Kluyveromyces lactis: one gene and its partners. The protein of the gene in region 1 binds, or shares a complex with, the protein of each later gene. Links are inferred from orthologs where the notes say so. Each region holds a gene or a part of one and is shown in the gene's direction. Other genes may lie near its edges.

Evidence for each region.
Region 2: MRP20 (region 1) and MRPL22 share a complex: the UniProt entries of both Saccharomyces cerevisiae proteins name them as parts of the mitochondrial large ribosomal subunit. The link is inferred for Kluyveromyces lactis from reciprocal best matches to the Saccharomyces cerevisiae genes MRP20 and MRPL22.
Region 3: MRP20 (region 1) and MRPL11 share a complex: the UniProt entries of both Saccharomyces cerevisiae proteins name them as parts of the mitochondrial large ribosomal subunit. The link is inferred for Kluyveromyces lactis from reciprocal best matches to the Saccharomyces cerevisiae genes MRP20 and MRPL11.
Region 4: MRP20 (region 1) and MRX14 share a complex: the UniProt entries of both Saccharomyces cerevisiae proteins name them as parts of the mitochondrial large ribosomal subunit. The link is inferred for Kluyveromyces lactis from reciprocal best matches to the Saccharomyces cerevisiae genes MRP20 and MRX14.
Region 5: MRP20 (region 1) and MRPL31 share a complex: the UniProt entries of both Saccharomyces cerevisiae proteins name them as parts of the mitochondrial large ribosomal subunit. The link is inferred for Kluyveromyces lactis from reciprocal best matches to the Saccharomyces cerevisiae genes MRP20 and MRPL31.
Region 6: MRP20 (region 1) and MRPL23 share a complex: the UniProt entries of both Saccharomyces cerevisiae proteins name them as parts of the mitochondrial large ribosomal subunit. The link is inferred for Kluyveromyces lactis from reciprocal best matches to the Saccharomyces cerevisiae genes MRP20 and MRPL23.
Region 7: MRP20 (region 1) and MRPL24 share a complex: the UniProt entries of both Saccharomyces cerevisiae proteins name them as parts of the mitochondrial large ribosomal subunit. The link is inferred for Kluyveromyces lactis from reciprocal best matches to the Saccharomyces cerevisiae genes MRP20 and MRPL24.

Annotation. Positions count from the first base shown.
Region 1 is NC_006038.1:504,613-507,700, forward strand, and holds MRP20 (mitochondrial 54S ribosomal protein uL23m), read left to right. Parts: upstream 1-1,523; coding exon 1,524-2,249; downstream 2,250-3,088. Other genes in the region: DNA-directed RNA polymerase II subunit RPB2, read right to left, coding at 1-743; sphingolipid homeostasis protein ORM2, read right to left, coding at 3,001-3,088. UniProt on the Saccharomyces cerevisiae protein: Component of the mitochondrial ribosome (mitoribosome), a dedicated translation machinery responsible for the synthesis of mitochondrial genome-encoded proteins, including at least some of the essential transmembrane subunits of the mitochondrial respiratory chain.
Region 2 is NC_006040.1:701,618-704,951, forward strand, and holds MRPL22 (mitochondrial 54S ribosomal protein uL22m), read left to right. Parts: upstream 1-1,837; coding exon 1,838-2,737; downstream 2,738-3,334. Other genes in the region: TDA7 (Tda7p), read left to right, coding at 270-1,436; SHR3 (Shr3p), read right to left, coding at 2,980-3,334. UniProt on the Saccharomyces cerevisiae protein: Component of the mitochondrial ribosome (mitoribosome), a dedicated translation machinery responsible for the synthesis of mitochondrial genome-encoded proteins, including at least some of the essential transmembrane subunits of the mitochondrial respiratory chain.
Region 3 is NC_006037.1:292,724-295,855, reverse strand, and holds MRPL11 (mitochondrial 54S ribosomal protein uL10m), read left to right. Parts: upstream 1-1,789; coding exon 1,790-2,527; downstream 2,528-3,132. Other genes in the region: KLLA0_A03289g (putative nitronate monooxygenase), read left to right, coding at 1-1,031; TRM8 (tRNA (guanine46-N7)-methyltransferase), read left to right, coding at 2,841-3,132. UniProt on the Saccharomyces cerevisiae protein: Component of the mitochondrial ribosome (mitoribosome), a dedicated translation machinery responsible for the synthesis of mitochondrial genome-encoded proteins, including at least some of the essential transmembrane subunits of the mitochondrial respiratory chain.
Region 4 is NC_006042.1:1,781,424-1,784,080, forward strand, and holds MRX14 (mitochondrial 54S ribosomal protein bL34m), read left to right. Parts: upstream 1-1,400; coding exon 1,401-1,751; downstream 1,752-2,657. Other genes in the region: GEP5 (Gep5p), read left to right, coding at 71-988; MRPL1 (mitochondrial 54S ribosomal protein uL1m), read right to left, coding at 2,074-2,657. UniProt on the Saccharomyces cerevisiae protein: Component of the mitochondrial ribosome (mitoribosome), a dedicated translation machinery responsible for the synthesis of mitochondrial genome-encoded proteins, including at least some of the essential transmembrane subunits of the mitochondrial respiratory chain.
Region 5 is NC_006041.1:1,082,136-1,084,743, reverse strand, and holds MRPL31 (mitochondrial 54S ribosomal protein mL60), read left to right. Parts: upstream 1-1,544; coding exon 1,545-1,934; downstream 1,935-2,608. Other genes in the region: APL2 (Apl2p), read left to right, coding at 1-718; CMC1 (Cmc1p), read right to left, coding at 896-1,207; kinetochore-associated Ndc80 complex subunit SPC24, read right to left, coding at 2,012-2,581. UniProt on the Saccharomyces cerevisiae protein: Component of the mitochondrial ribosome (mitoribosome), a dedicated translation machinery responsible for the synthesis of mitochondrial genome-encoded proteins, including at least some of the essential transmembrane subunits of the mitochondrial respiratory chain.
Region 6 is NC_006040.1:210,239-213,009, forward strand, and holds MRPL23 (mitochondrial 54S ribosomal protein uL13m), read left to right. Parts: upstream 1-1,652; coding exon 1,653-2,120; downstream 2,121-2,771. Other genes in the region: KLLA0_D02464g (uncharacterized protein), read right to left, coding at 1-150; protein disulfide isomerase MPD1, read left to right, coding at 391-1,377; CRN1 (coronin), read right to left, coding at 2,465-2,771. UniProt on the Saccharomyces cerevisiae protein: Component of the mitochondrial ribosome (mitoribosome), a dedicated translation machinery responsible for the synthesis of mitochondrial genome-encoded proteins, including at least some of the essential transmembrane subunits of the mitochondrial respiratory chain.
Region 7 is NC_006040.1:1,064,166-1,067,148, reverse strand, and holds MRPL24 (mitochondrial 54S ribosomal protein bL28m), read left to right. Parts: upstream 1-1,420; coding exon 1,421-2,188; downstream 2,189-2,983. Other genes in the region: KLLA0_D12584g (uncharacterized protein), read left to right, coding at 1-1,117; KLLA0_D12540g (60S ribosomal protein eL36), read left to right, coding at 2,856-2,871. UniProt on the Saccharomyces cerevisiae protein: Component of the mitochondrial ribosome (mitoribosome), a dedicated translation machinery responsible for the synthesis of mitochondrial genome-encoded proteins, including at least some of the essential transmembrane subunits of the mitochondrial respiratory chain.

The DNA of each region.
Region 1 (3,088 bases):
AGTGTACTGATAAAACGAGAGCCCTTTTCTAGAGCAGATCTAATTTCTGCGATATGTGAGATTGGAGAAGGAGCAGATTTCTTGAACACTTGGACAATATTACCTGCAGAACGTTCTTGAGCGATCAAAACCTTTTCTGAACCGTTAATGATAAAGTAACCACCCATGTCGAACGGACATTCCTTCAAACGATACAAATCAGATTCTGTCAAATCGTCCAACAAACAGTACTTCGATCTCAACATGATAGGTACTCTCCCGATGAAAATTTTATTATTTTCCTCATTCTCTTCACTTTCCTCAGTGATAATTTCGTATTTCAAATCACGACCTGGAATATCAATAGCCTGATAAGTTCTCTTCTGAATTTCCACAAATAAACCTGATGCGTAAGTCAAGTTTCTGAGACGGGCTTCCTGCGGATACATCGCATGAGAAACACCATCTGACTCAGTCATGGATGGTTTGGCCAAATAAATCTTACCAAATGAAATTTCATACTTTCTGGAAATGTTGTCCGTTTCAGTGGTATGCTGTGCTAATTGTTCCAAAATCAAGGTACTGTCTTCCAAGATAAGATCCTGAATCGTATAGTTGATGAATTGGTTAAAAGAATCCAACTGCTGAGATACTAAACCTTTTTCTCTGAAGAAAGCGGAGATAACAGTCCACGAATCTTCTGCTGAAATAGCAGCTTCTTCCTCATCGTACCCATATGGATCTTCATCATAGTATTCAGTCATCCTTGGTCTGTATTAAGAATTGCAAACGTTAATAATCTACACTGACCTCACAACCGTGGCAAATAATGCGTACGTGCGTGCTTATTATTAAAGTACAGAATAACACTCTTTGTTGTGTTGCTCGCAACCTGAAAAGAAATGTGTATTACTGGTCAAACAAAGAAGAAAACACACCCCAAATACAAAGAGTTAAGGACTTACCCAATAATCCGAAACAAACCCCACTCTGACAGAAGATGATTAAGCCGACTGGTACTCTCTTTTCTCTTCTCTCTTCCAATCTTCCTATTAACGATCAATCGGTAATTACGTTTCGCCTCTCAAAACAATAATATTTCAATTTCAAGCTTCCAGAGTATTTTTTTTCTTCACTATAAAGAGAACATCATTTCCCACGTCACAAACGGGTAACAGCATTTATTCAAAAATTTCAATATATCAGGTCACGTGAAGATCATTTCCTACGCTCTGATTTTTCCAATAAAAAATCTTTCTTCTAAAACATCCCAGAGCTCTCCAGTTTTGTACGACATATTCTACGTTAGATTCGTGCCAAAATGTGTACTCATCAGCTTTTCTAATATCTACTAACATGGAAAATGAGTATTTTAAAGCTTTTCATTGAAATGATTTCGATTTTAACATTAAGATTTGTATGAAGATGAGGCTTCTAAGAGACGCATACAAGAACAGGATTATTTGGGACTTTTCAGTTGCGAGTGCAGAGCGAAGTGAAGTAGTAATCTTTGCGCCAGTGTTTCTGTTCAATATCTATAACAAATGCCTCGTTTTTTCCCATCTCTCAAACAGGGTTTGAGAAACCTTGCTACTGCGGTAGAGACGGAATCTACAGTAGCAGTCAAAGCCAGTCAGTTCAAGAGACCTCGTCAATCCGTACAAAGCAGAATCTTGGAGTACACTCGTGAAGCGATTAAAACTGAGAAACCACATTTTAAAGTTGGTGGTGCAGAGCTCTATTTTCCTAAAGCGAGAGTTATTCTACTAAGACCAAATGCTAAACACACTCCATATCAAGCGAAATTCATCGTTCCTAAATCGTTTAACAAATTAGATTTAAGAGATTATTTATTCCACCTTTATGGTTTAAGAGCGTTGAACGTTACTACACAGTTATTGCATGCCAGATACACTCGTGCTACGCCGGTGTCGCCCAGGTACCGTGGTCCTCAAATCAAGAAGATGACTATCGATATGGCAGAACCATTTATCTGGCCTGCAGAACCTGAGGACAAGAGTGCATGGAATACTGAGTTCCAAAAGGAATTGGAAAAATACAGAAACGATAGGATGAGACTAGGATCCGACGCTAACAAACCTTCAAAGGCATTCGATGGTGTATTGGGACCATACCAGGAAACTGCAAAACCTTTCATTCCTAGATTCCTTAAAAGAAGACTAGTGAATAAGAAGGCTAGAGAGGCAAAGAAGGAACAATATTTGGAGCAAATCAAGAAGGTCAGTGAAGTCCTTGCTAAAAGCACATGAATTTCAGAGAATTTATTCTTTCATGAATTAAATTCTAGTAAAAGTATTACATCCTGTAAATATAATGTATGAAATATAGTACTGATTTAAAAACTGTCATAGCAAAATAATATGACGACTACTTGTGAACATTTTCAATGTTTAAATGAGAAATAAGTTTGAAGAACACTATATGTATGTATAAAAGATAAATACATTGTGGTGAATATTAAGGGAAAGTTAAGTGCAGTATGTCCCAGTTTGAAAAAAAATGAAGCGAAAAAAGAGTAACGGTATAAGATTTCTATTTGATTCCTGAATTTCCGTTGTATTGATCTTCACGGTTCAGGATGGAAGGGTTCAATAACGGGCAGGTGCTCATTTAATGTCATACTTAGTCACTAAACGGTTAATCTTGTTTCTTTTTTTCCTGTTGCTGATTATACTAAGATTGGCATTCTAATGTTCTTTATAAGTTCCTATTCCAATTAGTACACGGAGTTTCTAGTTTTTTTGTTCCTGTCTAAATAGGAACAGGATAATGATGATAATGATGATGAAAATAATAATAATAATGATGATGATGATAATGACGATATGAACGAAGCGAGTTTCTCCCAGTTCTGGTCAATTAGACAACAGAAAAAAACATGAGATATTTTATCGCTTCTGATGTGAACCGGAGAGGCAGGTAGAGAATCTCCTGCCTCTCTGTTTTTGTTTTTTTTCCTTTCTATTTTTAATGTTTGATTCATTCATTTGACTCCCTTTCTTAGCTGATTTGAGCAGGTCCTGTGATACCAGGAATGCTTATTCTTAGCCTGTGAGTTACAGGTAGTTTAGGAACCACAGCTACGAAG
Region 2 (3,334 bases), on another chromosome or scaffold:
CAGGTCTACTAATAGAAGCCTTGCATAAGGAGAAATAGGCGAGGGTAACGTCGTCAACTTCTCTATACATCCATCAAGGGACGCTAAGGCAGGACTTATAAGGTAGTGGGTGACGATACATAAGTTGCTAGTTGCTTGAGAAAGGGTGAAGTCGATTGCTACATCATTTTTTTTACCGAAAAACCGTTACAAGCGTAAAGCAGTTGTACCAAGGAAACTATTAAATTTCAAGATCTATAACAGGATCTCACTGGCCAGTTCACCTAAAGATGTTGTTCAACACTACCACTGACGGTACTGATTATTCATCTGTTGTTTCTTCGTCAGATACACTGACAGAAAGTTCGGAGTCGTTCTCACAAAGCGTTGCTAGTTTACGAACGGATTACATCAACCCTGACTCAGGAAATTCTACGCAGCAGCCACATGGTATGAAGACCAGGACGGTTCTGGTATATCCAAACAGATCACATTCGGATTCGGATTCACCTGGCATAGTATCGCCATCTACAGTTTGGGTACCGCCGTCAACAGATGATTCAACGTCGCATACAGATGTAGACACGGCAATGGTGACGGTACTTGAGATGAGCTCAGGACCGAGCAACATAGTAATGCAAACAATTTATCCCGAGAACACCGCGACCCAAGAATACACATCTGTTGAGGGTACAGAAGCTACTGCCACTGTGCCTACACCGACTTGGTTAACGTTGACCACTGAAGTACCGTCTTCTGAAACTGTGGTTTATTACACACGAGATTTCATCTTTACTGACACTTCAACCACCTTTACTAAAGGACTACCGACACTTACAGTGATACCCACAGAGGCTACTTTCACTACACCTACAGGTCCAGTTGTGACTGACACATCTTTTTACGAAAGATGGCTATCTGGCGCATTGGATTCCAACTCAACATCGTCTGGATCAAATAAAGATACAATAATCGGTGGTGTAATAGGAAGCGTGGGAGGTCTGGCGCTAATGATACTGGTGATCTATTTATTATTTAGGAAGAGACGAAGGAGAAATCTTATCGAACACGAAAAGAGCTTCTCCCACGACATTGGGAGAAAAATGGGATACGACGATATCGGAACGTTTATTGCACAGTCTCAGCAAACCACCAAGACTACAACCAGAGTATCGACGACTGCTCATAATAATAACAAAGTTTCAAAAAGTTTGCCCTCAGTGCCTCCATATGTTGCAGATTCTGTCAGGAGGCCACAGACGACAAATCCATTCGACGACGAATATGTTGTATCGATTGCAGATCCAGAGTCTCAGACGCCTTCCACAACATCACTACATTCATCCTTTGTGTCATCTTCCACCGATGAGGGTACACATGACACTGAAATGTCAGTTACTTACGATGAAAACCCACAGAACGCTCACGGATATTTAACGGAACTAATCGAACACTGATCTTACCAAACTCTAATTACAAAGTTTTCAAATTTGTACTTAAATTTTCCCTTCTATTCAATATACTTCTTTGTGCATCTTCAGTTATATAGTTCATATTTAAGGTTTAATTCCTAGCAATTCCACACTAACGCTTTTCTAATTTGTGATCTTACAACCCGTCAAGATAGTCGGACTTCAATATCTTCCTCCACACAGTAGAACCATTCCTTATATCTTCATGCCCGTTCACGATGATTTATATTTCCTAACCATCGAACAAAAAAATTTTGATAATCAAACATTGTACAGAAGAAGGATTGATCAAAGTAATAAAATGCCTACAGTATAATACTAGAGGCACGTGTAAATTACATGGTTAGTTGCAGGCTCTGTCATCAGTTCAACCTATATAAAATTTAATGCTATCGAGGACAGTAACTAGCCTGTTCGGCTTGGGAAAGGCTTCCGGTGTAAGAAGTTTTCAAGCTTCAGCATTGCAGCTACAAAAATCTGCACAAGGTTCGCTATTCGGTGAAGTCACCGATGGAGTGAATCCGTTGAAGGATGACGATCCAAATAAACTATCTAATAAGTTGACTACTGCTACCGAACTGTCAGATGATTTGGATGCTGCTACCCAGCTGGCAGAGGCTAAAAAGAAAGTTACAGCAGCCAATGATACACAATTACAGAAATATATCGAAGAACAAGACCCCATGATCAAAAGTTTACCAGAATTTTTGTTACCAAGAGTTAAGAAGGAATTCTATGAACAACAGGTTAGGTTGAACGGTGGGTTTTACGACAAAAGCGTGCGCCCTAAAGATCGTTCTTTGAGATTAACGAATGAAGAATTAGAAGTGCTTGAACCTAGTGTCTATGTTAAATCTTACAGAGTAAAATCATCTATGAAGAAGGCCACACAGCTGCTTAGACTTTTGAACGGATTGGACGCTAAGAAAGCTTTGACTCAATGTCATTTCTCCGATAAAAAGGTTGCCCGTGATGTTGCCGAATTATTGGAGCGCGGTATTAATGATGGTGTGAAGCTTGGCTTGGATGCCAATGACCTATACATCTCCCAGATATGGACCGGCAGTGATGGATTTTGGCAAAAACGTGTCGAATGGAAGGGTAGAGGTAGACGTGGTCTCATTGAACACCCATATGTGCATATCAAATGCATATTGAAGACCAAGAGTGTAACGAAGAGAAGACTAGAGCACGAAGCCAAACTAAAAGAACAAAGGAAGAAACCGTGGGTTCAATTAGCAGATAAACCCATCAGAGGTTCTATGGGTGGTGTTTACAAATGGTAATGAGATATTAAACATTATCATATTACGTTTATTTCCAATGATAATGGGTGAAGATAATATACAGCAATTAAATCATCAATAATAAGGTCCTTAGATTGTCTTTGGGTTTCATCTCAAGTTATCCATGTCGGAATAGCCAAGTATTTCATATCATTTATATAATATATAGAACAAGAGCTTGTAAATAGTGAAAGCAACGCGAAATACTTCACCGCATCAAACTGTAAGGAAACAAATTTCGTCTATTTCTTCTTCTTAGATTCCGTTTTAGCTGGTTCAGTAGTTTTCTCCGCCTTCTGTTGGTTAGCGGCAGATTCCTTCAATTGGTCTTTCCTCCATTGATCTAATCTTTGTTCATATTCCCAGGTACTGTACCACAAACCTCCTTGCAACACTAAGACACCAGCAAAGACAATTAAAATAATGATATTGGAAGAGGCAACAACAGCAATACCTTGCGCCTCAGAGACTTCACCCCAGTTATGGTAAACCGCAGATTCAACACCGGTCTTGATATTTGTTAAGAAAACACAGATACCCAAAACGTACAAAGCCAATGAACCGTATTCAAATAATTGCAAATCTGGATTTGGCTTG
Region 3 (3,132 bases), on another chromosome or scaffold:
ATCCTATTCTAGTAGCACCAATGGCCGGAGTATCCACACCGGAATTGGCAGCAGCTGTATCTAATTCTGGTGGTTTAGGATCGCTTGGACTTGGAGCAAGTTCTGTCGAAAAAGCAAGAAACGCCATAATTGCGACGCAGAAGCTAACCAAGAGTCCATTTCAGGTCAATTTCTTCTGTCATGAGCCAGAAGAGTTGAACGTGGAGGTGGCACGCAATTGGATCGAATATTTGAAGCCAATATTTGCTCGGTTCCATACTAAACCTGAAAAGGAATTAACCAAGATCTATAACAGTTTCTTGGAAGATCCAGAAATGCTTGCAGTGGTGTTAGAATTGAAACCGAAAGTGGTTAGTTTCCATTTCGGAGTGCCATCTGCGAGCACTTTAAAATCATTGAAGCAAGCGGGAGTTGTCACGATGGCAAGTGTGACTCAATTAAGTGAGGCTGAATTGGCTATTGGGCACGGGATAGATATCCTAATCGCTCAAGGTGTCGAAGCGGGTGGTCATCGGGGAATGTTTAACGCATCATTAGATCCGGCAATATCCACGAGAGATTTGGTGAAATTACTAAAAGCAAAGTTGGGCACAACTATTCCTATAGTAGCAGCAGGAGGAATAATGTCTGGTCAAGATATTAAAGGAATGATGGAAGTAGGTGCCAGTGGTGCTCAATTAGGAACCGCATTTGTCCAATGCAAAGAATCGGCTGCGTCAGAAAATTACAGGAAATTATTATTTGACAAAACAAGAAATGACATAACTCAAATCACAAGCAGCATATCAGGTCGTCCGGCGCGAGCTTTGTTGAATAGTTGGCACACTGAGGTGGATATTCCAACTAGAGTGATACATCCAGGGTATCCATTTACATACGATGTGGGGAAGCAGTTAAATGCCGTGTCTATTCCAGATCATGATGGTACCGCAAATTCTTTCGCAGCACATTGGGCAGGATCCAATGTCAGCCGTATCCGTGATATGGATGCGAGACAACTAATGCAAACCCTTGTCGATGAGATGAGATAATTTTCCAGACCGTTACAGCACAGAGCTATGCTGTTTCAAATGTACGAAAATCCCGAATAGCGACAAATTCCACAATGGAACGATGAAGTTACACTAATTGTGCATTATTCTCGTCAGTTACATGACTGCATTTATTTTTTCAATGACGAAGTAGAGTTGCATCTCTTCACAATTTCACTACGACCCTATAAATCCCGGACTACCTTTTGTAAGGAAGAAATCTAATCTTTCGACATCCCTCCTAGCTTGGACAGGAGACGTCTATAACGGATTACATTATTTAAGCATGATGTTGACGATAGCAATGACAGTTTGCAGTTCGAAAAGAAGAGCAGAACTCACCAATTCCTCTATCATTTTAATTTGAACAGTCACGTGAATCGACCTTTGCCTCATTCGGGATTATATATACTATAAAGAAGATATATAAAAAATTACCAATATACATTTTTTGCTGCCATGGAAAATATACGAGAAAGTCTTCATTCCCTTCTCCATTGTTGATACCGATTTTGGCACTCATACCACTTCCAATTACCATTCATACCTTCTTACATTGAATCTAACTATGCCTCTCGTCGGTTTATTGTACCAAGTATTGAAATTCGACGATACTGAAAAATCTGAAAAAAAATGAAAAATCTGAAAAATCACTGAAGATTGATATATTGTAGTGAAGAGATATATTGGTGGGAATGAATTCGCTTAAAGTGATTCGAATCCACAGCTCAGGTCATCACCAACCACTCAAAATAGCCATGTTGTCACTTTTGTTAAGAAGCCCAGTGGTGGTATCCCGTGTCTCATATGCTTCTCCGTTTTTGGTTAGGAGGTTTGCCTCTACGCAAATTGAGAGAACTGTCTCGGATGCAGTTAGAAGAACAGTAAAGCCTTTGGACTCTCGTAAGACTTTCCTAATCGACTCTTACAAAAACCTGATGGAAACCAGTCCGGTAATGTTGTTTTGTCATCATAACAATTTGATGAAAGGGGAGAATGCACACTTCAGAGAAGAAATTAATAAGGTAGGAGGCAAGTTAACAATCTTGAGAAACAATTTGTTCCAAGTATACTTGAGAAACTCACGCAAAAATGACCCAGCTGCTCCAGCGAAACGTTCAGAACAAGACTGGAAGCATCCTTTACTGCCCTTGTTCAAAGGTCCTACGGCAGCAATTTCGTTCCCAGAGACTGATCCGGCAAAGGTAAAAAAAGTCATGAAATTATTGGAAAAAGCCCAAGACAAGTTATTCGTTATTGGCGCCAAAGTTGAAAATGATGCGTACGATTTGAGACAATTGGATTCTTTCAAGGATCTACCAACAAAAAGTCAATTACAATCAGAATTACTGGGACTATTGCACGTCTTGAGCGGTGCTGGTTTAGTTCAAACTTTAGAAGCTGGCTCAAACATGTTGTACCTAACTCTAAAGTCTCACGAAGATAATATTAACCCAGATAAGCAGAAAAACGAGAATGACAGCGAAGGAAATTAAAGTCTTTTGCCCCATCATGAAATGTAATATAAATCATTTTTACGTATCGATGTACTTAAATAAACCCATCACATATTAATATAAACTCCTGTACATATTCTTTGCACGTGACTTTTTTTGATCTCATTTGTATATTGTAAAGAAATAAAAAGTTTTTGAACATGCACTGAATCAATTGAGTCGAGAAAACCTAGGCGATGAGGTTACAATTTTTCAAAGCAGTTACTTCCACCAACCGTTAATGTGTGTTGAATAAACATAATTGAATTCTAACAGTGACTCAAATTTCCTATAACTGCCTTTGTTAGAAAATATGAGTTTTAGTACTAGACGCCAGGCGTATCGTGCTGAGAAGCAAGATCATCGCAAAGAATTGAAACATGTCAAGATCGATGAATCTGTGATTGAAAAGGTGGATAAACTATCTTTACCTAAAAAAAAGTTTTACAGACAAAGAGCACATTCGAATCCATTCAGTGATCATCAGTTGGAGTATCCAATAAGCCCAGCTCATATGGACTGGTCAAAATTGTACCCTCATTTCTACGATAGTGAAAAGAAGAAAATGACGAAAGATGTTACCATTGCGGATATCGGATGTGGTT
Region 4 (2,657 bases), on another chromosome or scaffold:
GGTCATAATCGAATGGACATACTGTGAAGTATTGTGCGTATTTTTTTGACAACAGTTTTGGAGGTTGACGATGAAGGCTAGTCTTCTGAGAACTTCGAAATTATACAAGGGTCTTCATTCAATAACTAAAGACGCCATTTCGAAGGTGGACACTTTCCCCAAGAATAAGCAACATGAAACGCTACATCGGTTAAACTCTTTCAATGAGAATCCAACACGCAAGACCTTGGAGAAATTAGTCTATTCTGTTCATTTCCATTTGTTGAACGATCCTCCTAAACACGTAGACATATTGAGACAATACCCTAATGAGTTGGCAAAATTTTGGCCCTATGAAATGCAGCACTCGATTTTAGAAATGGATGACCCAAATCTAACATCTCAAACGATTTTATGGTCTCGTAACAATAAGGATGCTTTGGATTTCTTGAGCTTCAATCGTCATAAGTGGCTGCGGCCGAAAAACTGGCAGACTCCGAATGAGGAACTTATAAAAGATATCACAGGAATTGACGGTCTTCAATCAACTCAAATTACAGAAGTATTAAGACTCCCTGCAGAAAAGATAAAGGAGACACTACGGCAAATTTTCGAGCATTACTATTTCTTGAAGACAAATCCGAAACTATGCGCTACAAAAAAACTCCAGGCACCAATCGTTGAGATCGGAATGAAACCTGATGGTTTCGATATAGCCGACATCAGGATCGATAACTTGTTTAAGAAAAAGGTCAAGCTAATTAGTGACCTGCTCTACTCGCAAAATCCGGTGCTGACTTCAGATGCAGAGTCTATATTAACGTCAATAGTTAACGACCCAGATCTCAATAGGCGAACGAAAAGATTGTATAAAAATGTTGCCAGCAGATCTTACCTTTTCAAAGATGGGAAGTTCGAAATAAGTGAACTTGCTAGAGGCGGATTTGTCCTGTCGAAGGAAAATTTGAGCGAGAACTTAGCTGCTGCCCTTGAGGAAGAACATAATTGACTTATGAACACACATCACGTGATATATAATTTACCTACAGCTACCATTTTAGCTCAATGTAAATAGAAAACACTTTAATAATAATGTTAGCCAGGAAATGAAACCGCCAATACACTTATTGTAACAGACTAGTCTAAGACCGATTTGAAGTTTCAGCGGTTTGCTAGAAGCCAAGTTTGTTCGCTTCCACAGATGCTTTCACTATTTCCAACATCCATCGATATTTTCATACATTTACATTAGTCTCGAGAAAGAAAAAATTTGAATTCAAAGAAATCAAACGAAGAGAAACCAGGACATATTTCTTGAAGACGAAGTCTCCTAAAAGTAGTCGCCCGAACTACTCATTAGTTATCGATAAGGATTTAATTCGAAGTGAAGAACAATTAAAATAAAATCTCATCCAGTCGTTATGAGTTTTATAACAAGAAATCTTCTTCAGTGGACCTCAAAACGTACATTAACCAGTTTCTCTAGTTTCTCACCTTTAAGAACACTAGACTCACGTCTTCATAGACCTTTGGCGCAAGTCAATCCAATGGAAATCACTTTACAATCTCAAACACAAGCAAATGGCTCATCAATATTTGGTATGTTGTTCGATTTGACTCAGAGAAGATGGAAAAGTAGAGGTAACACTTTCCAACCGAGTACTTTAAAGAGAAAGAGAAGAGTGGGGTTCCTAGCAAGGGCAAGATCTAGAAGTGGACAACAGATACTTAAAAGAAGAAAGAATAAAGGCAGATGGTATTTGACTTATTAGTTCTGTTCAACTTTCCAATCAAACCAGGAACGTTATGGAAGCGCCTGATTATAAAGAATGGCTGAATCTCCTGTATATATATCCACATCGTCATTATGTATTTTAAGAAAACGGAACAGTTTTGATTTTAGCTTTGCCATCAGAAAGCTGGCATGACATTAAGATGATTCTATCGGATAGGTTTATAGTTATCAATTGCAGAAGGAATCTTTTTTCTATTAACGATTTCTATGTACATGGGCATTATTTCTGAAGTAAGTTTCATTCTATCTTGACAAGGACAACAATTCCAGTTATTGTTCATAAAAATTGGGTTGCTTTATTAAGCAAAGTCAATCACAATACCAGGACCGTGTGTACTTGTCAGCGTAGTTTGGGACAATATGCTTGGTTTTTTCGTTTGTTGATTGGTGATAGATTGTTTGAAAGCCTTCTGTGTTGCCAACAAGTTCTCTAGAACTTCCTTGTCAGTGAAATGGGTCTTGGCAACACCTAAACTAATACTGTTACCACGTTGTCTGAATGGAACAGAGCTCATACTATCTTTAATCAATGGCTCAAGATCTTCGGCGACGGTTCCCTTCTTGGCAGTTGGCAGTAAACCACGAGGACCCAAAATTCTACCAACTTGAGAAGCAAGTTGTGGAACAATATCTGGAGTTGCAAAAGCCTTGTCAAAGTCGATACTGACTTCACCAGCCTTGATTTGACTTACTAAATCTGAACCGCCGACTAAATGAACACTGTATTTATCTTTCATCAAAGCCGCTTGTGCCTCGTCATTAGTGAAGACAGCAACTTTCACATCTTTAAGAGGTTTGCCGAAGGAAACATTACCTGTAAGAGGGGGGACACCTCTTTCTGCTACCACCAATGTAGTTAACGTGATGGTTTGTTGGCTTGCTG
Region 5 (2,608 bases), on another chromosome or scaffold:
GCAAGATATCGATACCATATTTACATCTGATCTAGGCAGTTGTAACTACATCTGGTTTATCACCAACTATACAAACGAAAATTTGGAAACTAAGCTTGAACCACTGGTAGAAGTTTTCGATGAATTAGGATCCCTAACTCAAATGTCCCTTCTAATGGGTGTAGTGAAATGCCATAATGCAGTCTCAAGTGCTTTCTTACAGAAGATCTTGGAACTTTGTACGACAGACGTCCACGATTTGGACGTTAGAGACATGGCCATGATGTACTGGCGGTGTCTATCGATCGACAACGGTGATCAAATCATCAACCAATTATTTGACAAGCATGAAATTCCTAAATTGCATTCTACCTTGGACCACTTCTCCAAGGAAACATTACAAAGTCTACTTCAAGAGCTCTCCACTCTATCCTCTGTGTATTTCAAACCAATCTCGCAGATGCAACGCCGTCCCAACGAAGTTCACATCATTAAGGATAAGGATATTGATGAATTAAAGGGAATGGCCACGAACGAGATCCTGAAAAACATGAACGATGATGTACTACTTGACATGGGTGATAGCTCTGCCACGAGAAGTACAGGCGTCCTGGACGAACTAAATGATCTTTTCGATATCACTGGTGATATGGGGAAAGTAAACATTTCACAGAAAACCAATAATAACAACAACAACACCTCGAATTCCCATGCAACCGATCTTCTAGACTTAATGTAAACTAGTTTACTCTTTTGAACACCTGTACAAACTATAATTATAATGGGAAACAATGAAGCAGATAAACTTCAATCATGGATGTGCCTTTCTAAAATGTTAATTTATTATGGTGCAGTATCTACTACTATATACAAGTAACCCCAGTGGCATGTCATGTCATGTCATATCATGTCAACTTTATTCCTTTTGTTTCTTGAGAAGATCCTCAAGTCTCTCAATCTTACGTTCCACTATCAAGTCACGTTGACGATCCAGATTAGAATCCTTCTGGTATGATAATATACATTTGCGCATAGCGTCACGAGGTTCGTTACACGCTGGGAAAAGCTTCAATCCATGAATCTTTGAACATTCGACCATGGCCTCCACGTATTCTACACATTGTGCATATGCAAATTTCTTCAAATTCTGACGAGCTTCTTTCTCCTCGGTAGGGTTCAATACCCAAATTGGTAATCTTTGATTATGCTTTCCAACGCCCTCTGACATTTCTAAATGAATAATCTATCTTTGTGGTGCAGTATTCCAGTACTATAAGAACTTCTGACCTATGGTTATGGACACAGCAGCAGCTACAAATGACAATACGCTGGCTGTTCCCCAAAATCGTTTAAATCAGTTGACATTGTTCATTTGCATAATGTTGAGATTTAAAGCTTTTTCATGGATACTTTGAAAAATTTCGAAGGTTTAAAAGATTTAATACCATGAATTACGGTGGGAAATTGGTAAAAGCCAGCCAGTAGCACCGTTATACAAACTGTTTAAGCAGCTCGTTAGGTTCTGTCATACCCGGGTCAATTGAATATCTTTGTTTCATAGAGAAATGTTCGGTGCATTCAGAGCTACACAACCTGCATTAGGTGGATTATTATGGAAAGTCCCATGGCGTATGTCTGGTCCTCAAAAAGCAAGACAAAGAGACCGTTTGAGAAGCGTTGATGATGTTCTTTCAACTCTTAAGTTAGGTCTTCATCTTGAAAGAAACCATATGGCGGTTTCTGAGGGATCTCAGCTGAATCTACGTAAGATTAAACCTCGTGTGAAGAGCTTACGTATTTTAGACAAGGCTCAGTATTTCCCAAAGGAACCGGAGATGTCTGCTACTGATAAGTACAGTGTATTCAACAGGTACTCGAAGGGATATAGAAAGGGTATACATAAAGTTCCCAAATGGACCAAGCTTTCCATCAGAAGAAACCCACGTCATTTCTGATTTGGATGAATCATCATTAAAAACTTCTATTATTACATAGTAAGTAGCCCCTGTACATAGTGAATAAAATCAAGGTATCATAGTTCATCCCAGATGTTGTGAGATGATGATGATGATGATAATGGACGGGCTTCATTCCTTAGATCGAGCAATTGGTCATTATATAGTGCTACGTCAAGGGAATGGAACAACTTCAACTTTAGCACACGTATCTTGTCATCTTTACCGATCGGTTCCTCATCAATCGTGTGGGCAGCATCAGTATCGTCATTGAGTAATTGTTTCTGTGTTTCTACGACCTTTTGAATACCCTCTTGTATCGTATCTCGAAGCTGGTTAATTTCCTGTACCAGTTTATCTATGTCTTGTTGCAATTTCGGTATGTTTAATTCGTCCTCTACGCGTTTCACTTGGCTTGTTTGCTCCTGAAAATTCTTTTTAAGTGCCTGCACTTTAGTTTGCTGTCTTTGCAGCTGTGATTGCAATTGTTTCATGAGCTCATTGTGGTGTGTTTGTTTCTCAGCCATCAATTTCGTGAGCTGTCTCATATTACTCTTGATCTCTTTAATATTAGAGACATCGCTTTCAATGATGAAATTGGACCGGGTTTGCTGTAAAAGCTCTACTGGATCATTGAGCCGTGACATTGGGTGCTGCAATATCCACTGTTGCTC
Region 6 (2,771 bases), on another chromosome or scaffold:
GGGACTCCGTGCAAACTCAGGTTTTAAACCTTTCCCCTGATACAAAAAATCGTTCACGGTTTCTAGTGTTATCTTAGGCACGCGATAAAATTGGCTGTATAACTGGTAGAAAGCATAAAATGCGTATGGAGAACTAGTTTCTAATGACATTCTCTAATCACTTGGCTCTGCTATTGTGTGTTTCCTTATTCCTTTGATGATGATGATGGGATCGTGTCCCCTTATTTCTTAGTTCTTATGTATCGATGTTCCTTTTAACGATTTCAAAATCAAATCTTTGGGTCCACTGCTGCCAAGAAATTCAACATCACTCGAAATTGACAAAAAGAGAAGAGAGTAAACCACCTTGTTAACTTCCATCGTTGAACATTTTCTAAAGTCCTCCAGACTATGATGTACACACGTCTTCTATATGCATTGTTTTTGTTGGTCGAACTGGCGTTCGGAGCCAATTTCTACGACCGTGATGAGAATATCATGGAATTGACACCTTCTAACTTCGATAAAGTCATTCATAGGACCAATTACACCACTTTGGTCATGTTTTATGCTCCGTGGTGTGGTTACTGTCAGGAATTGAAAGGTTCCATGAAATCTGCCGGTAAAATCCTCTCTGGAATGGTACAAGTTGCTGGAGTGAACTGTGATGAAAGTGTGAATAAACAATTATGTGCACAGAACAGAGTATCGGGGTTCCCAACGTTAATGGTATTCAGGCCTCCAAAGATCAATTTGGATAACCCAAAGAAAAATTCCAATGGTGCTGCGTCACAGCATGCCACAGAAGTGTACAAGGGAGAAAGGAAATTGAAGCCCATTGTCGATTTCGCTTTATCTAGAGTGAAAAACTACGTGAAGCGGTTGAACCGTTACAGTAAGTTCGAAGAACTATTAAAATCTTCAAGAACCAGGTACGCTGTAGTGCTTATCTCAAAGAAGGAGAAGATTCCAACTTTATATAAATCTGTAGCCCTCGATTGGCTTGGGATCTACGATTTCTATTCGATCTGGGACGAGAAATTGCAAGGCGTGTCACAATTGAGTTTTGAGAACGATACAAAGAATTGGCCAAATACTGTTAAATACCTCCAATCGTTAGAAAAAAGTGAAACTGAATTACAATCGCCCAGAATCGTAGTGATAGATAGAGAAACAGATACTTATGACGAACTAGACATATTAAAAACTACAGATAAAAATGACATTGCAACGTTCCTTTCGAAATTCGAGTCAAAACCAAGGGAAGGTCCACTCAGTAAGAGACAAGAATACCTCAAATCTATTTTGAATAAATCAAAGTCAAAGAAGTCCAAGACTAAAAAGAACAAACAGAAGACTAAACTTACGAAGGACGACATAGTTCAGGATGAGTTGTAGGTATTTGTTAGTAGCTTGTATATAGATTGTGTTTAACATCCGGGTAACAGTAATATGAGCGATTGAAAAAAATTTGGCTCCAAGCTGAAATTAAACATCAATTAATCAAATCGATTGTCAAGCTAAACATATGATGAGTTAAAAGACAACTGACTGTCCCGAACTATCCCTTTACCTAAGTGATTACAGTTGAATAGCATCACTTAAAATTTAACTTTTTAGGTGCCACGTTTTAACCTGTCAGAAAGGAGGCAAAATAACAATATATTAGAAGTATGTCTCAAAAGGTAGGACATACTGGTTTGGCATTTGCCAGGATGTGGCATCATGTTGATATATCCAAGGACAAGAGAACGCTTGGTAGGGTGGCATCTCAGGTTGCTCTAGCGTTAATGGGGAAGCACAAGCCAGTGTATCATCCATCTGCTGATTGCGGTGATTATGTTGTGGTAACGAACTGCCAAGCTTTGCGTGTGACGGGGAACAAGATGACCCAAAAGACGTACTGGTCGCATACTTCTAGACCAGGTTCATTAAAGTTGACTACAATGGAAGACATGATCAGTAACAAGGGTTACAGTGAAGTTTTGAAGAAGGCTGTGTCCGGAATGCTTCCCAAGAATAAACTTCGTAAGATCAGACTTGCTAGATTAAAAATTTTCGATGGAAGTGAACATCCATACAAGAGTAATATCACCGCATTTGCTGATCAGCAACTAGAGCTGCAACACCAGAAGAAATAGTGTGGATGAATTTTTATGTGACTTCTTAATTTTTGAGAAGTTAACGGCAGCATGTGATGTAAAATCCCTGTATATATTATTATTCGATCTAAATGGTTCTCCTTAGTACGCATACAATGTCTGTCGTTTTTCACTGTACTAAACTCTTCCACTTTACTATGTACATATAGATTGTTATTTAGATATGTTAATTATCACATACAAATCACATACAAATCACATACAGAGATAGAAAAGATATTACATCGCAGTATGCCAAAGCATAATACTTTTGCCTGGAAGAAAGAACATTTAACAGAACAAAAACGAGAAGAATTAGGGAAGGATGTATTTCATATTTGATATTATTTCCCTTGCTCCAAAAGACGATCTACTTTTGCTTCCAAAGCAGCAAGAATTTCATCTTTGCGGGTATTTTCCTCGGTTAATTTATCAATATAGCTTTCCAACTTTAGAACTAATCCAGATAATGTTTCTACAGATTGTCTCAAATTGAGAGACTTGTTCGTAGATGCTCCAGCTGCTGCTGCTGCTCCAGCTGCTGCTGCTGCTCCAGCTGCGCCACCTGTATTCGGATTGGAAGATGGCTTTTCTTCGCTGTCTTCCTGAGAAGGGTTCACACGGATGTTTGTTTCCACGCTAGCCTGTGAT
Region 7 (2,983 bases), on another chromosome or scaffold:
ATCTAGAACGAAGTTCATCCCAGAAGGTAAGACAGATTCTTTATTCAGCGTGCTCAAGGCTTACTCTCTTTATGACCCACCAGTTGGTTACACACAGGGCATGGGTTTTATTGCTACTACTTTAATATTGAACTGTGAAGAAGAATGGCAAGCGTTTTCTCTATTAACGAAACTCATGAAAGTATACGGATTAAGGGATTTATTCTTGCCGGGAATGCCTGGCCTGATGTTGAAATTGTACCAATTTGATACACTTTTGGAGGAAAATGATCCTCAATTGTATAACCATTTGATCAGGCAGGGAATAAGATCTACAATGTTTGCAACTCAATGGTTCCTGACGATGTTCGCATACAAATTTCCCCTTGAATTCGTTCTCAGAATCATGGATATTGTCATACTTGAAGGTATCGAATCGATGCTAAAATTCAGTTTAACGTTGATGTTAAAGAACAGTCGTAATTTGATCATTCTCAGTTTCGATTCTCTCTTAGACTTCTTGAAGGAGGACCTTTTCCAACACTATGCTTCTAAGGAGAACCCAGAAGAGTACGATATTGATAGATTCATCTCTGATTCGTTGGAAATCAAATTAACTCCATTGCAATTGGAGCGTTACGTGAAAGAGTACGATGAGATTCACAAGTTGGAAACGGAAAAGGAACAACAATATGAGGAACAAAGAATTAAAAACAGACAGCTTCAAAAAGAGTTGAAGAAATTAGAAAATGACTATTCGCTATTAAACAGAGAGCATATCACTATTGCCAATGAACTAATTGAAAACAGACTTCGGATGGAAACTCTTCAGGACGAAAATAAGGATTTATTACTAGAGATAGAAGATTTGAAGAAACAACTGGAACGTGAACTTTATAAACAAACGTTACCTAATCCAGATGCTGAAATTCCCACAGATTTGAAAGCAGATTTGAATAGAACAATGGAAAGAAATCTGGAAGTTATGGACGAAAATCAAGAGCTCAGAACACGCCTTGACGAATTAGAAAAAGAGAACTATGAATTACGCACAGGTAAGACTTGGACCAAAGATGCCACCAATCCAAAGGGAAATCGTCTCGGGAATTGGGCTTTCAAATCACCATGGAAGAAATGAGAAAAATTGCAACAGGGACCTCATTCACAATATCCATCCAGCCGTACATATATACATACCCTTCATACATACATGATACCGCCAACCATTACGCAGAGGTGTATTCTAATCATAAATTTCCTTATGCTTTACCATTCTCGCTGTATACGGTTTTGATCTTTCCAAAGCTTATTCAAAATTTTAGAAAATAACGACTTGATACATGCACTAAGGTGAAGAGAAGGAGCTTGAACCTAGTATGAAGCTAGTTGGTCTAAGAGTCTCTGTACGTTCACCAATAAGCACGGAGATCGTTCATCTGGAATGAAGTTTTTTCCAAGTTCCCAAAGAGGGTTTTCCACTCTTAGCCACCTCCTCAGAGAATGGAGATTAGTTGAAAGCAGACAGATCCCAACTCCAAAGACGTATCAAGTCGGCGACAGCAAGCCATTATATATCCCAAAGGAGAAGAAGGAATTCCCTGATTATCCATACGGAGAATCTCCAATTTACAAACAGAGTAACAAAGGTTTATACGGTGCGTCTTTCATCCAATTCGGTAATAACATCGCTGAATCGAAGACAAAAACCAGGAGATCATGGAGTCCAAACGTTATTAGAAAAGGACTATGGAGTGAGACTTTGAACAGAAAGATTAGTATTAAGATGACAGCAAAAGTTTTAAGAACAATTACCAAGGAAGGTGGTATTGACAACTATTTGACTAAGGAAAAGGCCGCCAGAATTAAGGAATTGGGACCTACTGGTTGGAAACTCCGTTACAGACTACTGAACTCTAAGGAAAAAGCTGCCAATCCTGTACATAAGGACGCTGAGACTGTCACAGATGCCAATGGCAACGAAGTCACCGTATTGTACAAAGTTGTTGTCGATGGAGAACCATTGAGAATTACTGCTGGTAAGCGTAAACTATTGCATACCCTTTTCCCATTGGAAAAGATGGAACACAAAGCGGATGGATTAGATCTATCGTTTAAGAAATTCATGGACCAATTTGCTACCCGTGACGTGGCAGACATCGTATCGAGATTAAAGGCCTTGAATTTCGATTTGAGTACGATTACTGTATGAGAACTGAATAGATTTTGTTCCAATTTTATATAAAAGCTTGTAAACAATGAGAAAATAGATTCTACCATGAGCTGGGAGGATGCTTGAAGACTATGCGTTAGTTGTCCGACTGACCGATGCAAGAGTTAATCACCCACTGTTCAATTGAATTGAACGGTGTGCATGTGACTGTTGCACCCAGACATTATTGACTGTTGCACCCATACATACTCAATTTCTGCTGAAAATGAGAATGTTTCCATACTAGGAAATTATTTTCTCATGTCCACCAAATCCGCTGAGCTGACGGTAGGATGCACAGACACATCCCATCCGTCTTCGTTGCTTGCTTCGAGCTGGGCAGGGCCTGTCCCGTTTCCTCCCTAAGCTGGACTGCCCGGTCTGGGCCTGGACATTCCACCAAACTGGCCGCTGGACTGCCCACTTAGACCCCAGGCTAGGCATCTCATGGTTTCCATTCACTTCCCATACCCTCCCAAACACTCCTCCGGGTAATCATCCTCTGGAACTTCTATACTGCTACAGCTTTTCACAATTTTTCAAAGTATTATAAAAATTTTCTGACGATTAGAGCATCAATATATACACTGTTAATAGATATATGGTAGTGTTACAGCTTGTTTAATCTGTTGTTTTAATACCATCACGAACGACAAAGAGTAACAAAATGGCCGTTAAGTCAGGTATGTGATTTGAATGAATGAATGAACGAAGAAACTAGCGAACGAACGAATATTTTGAGGGAGATATCAGTAACAAAGGACCTAGAATTGGAATAAGACCGTATAACCAAAT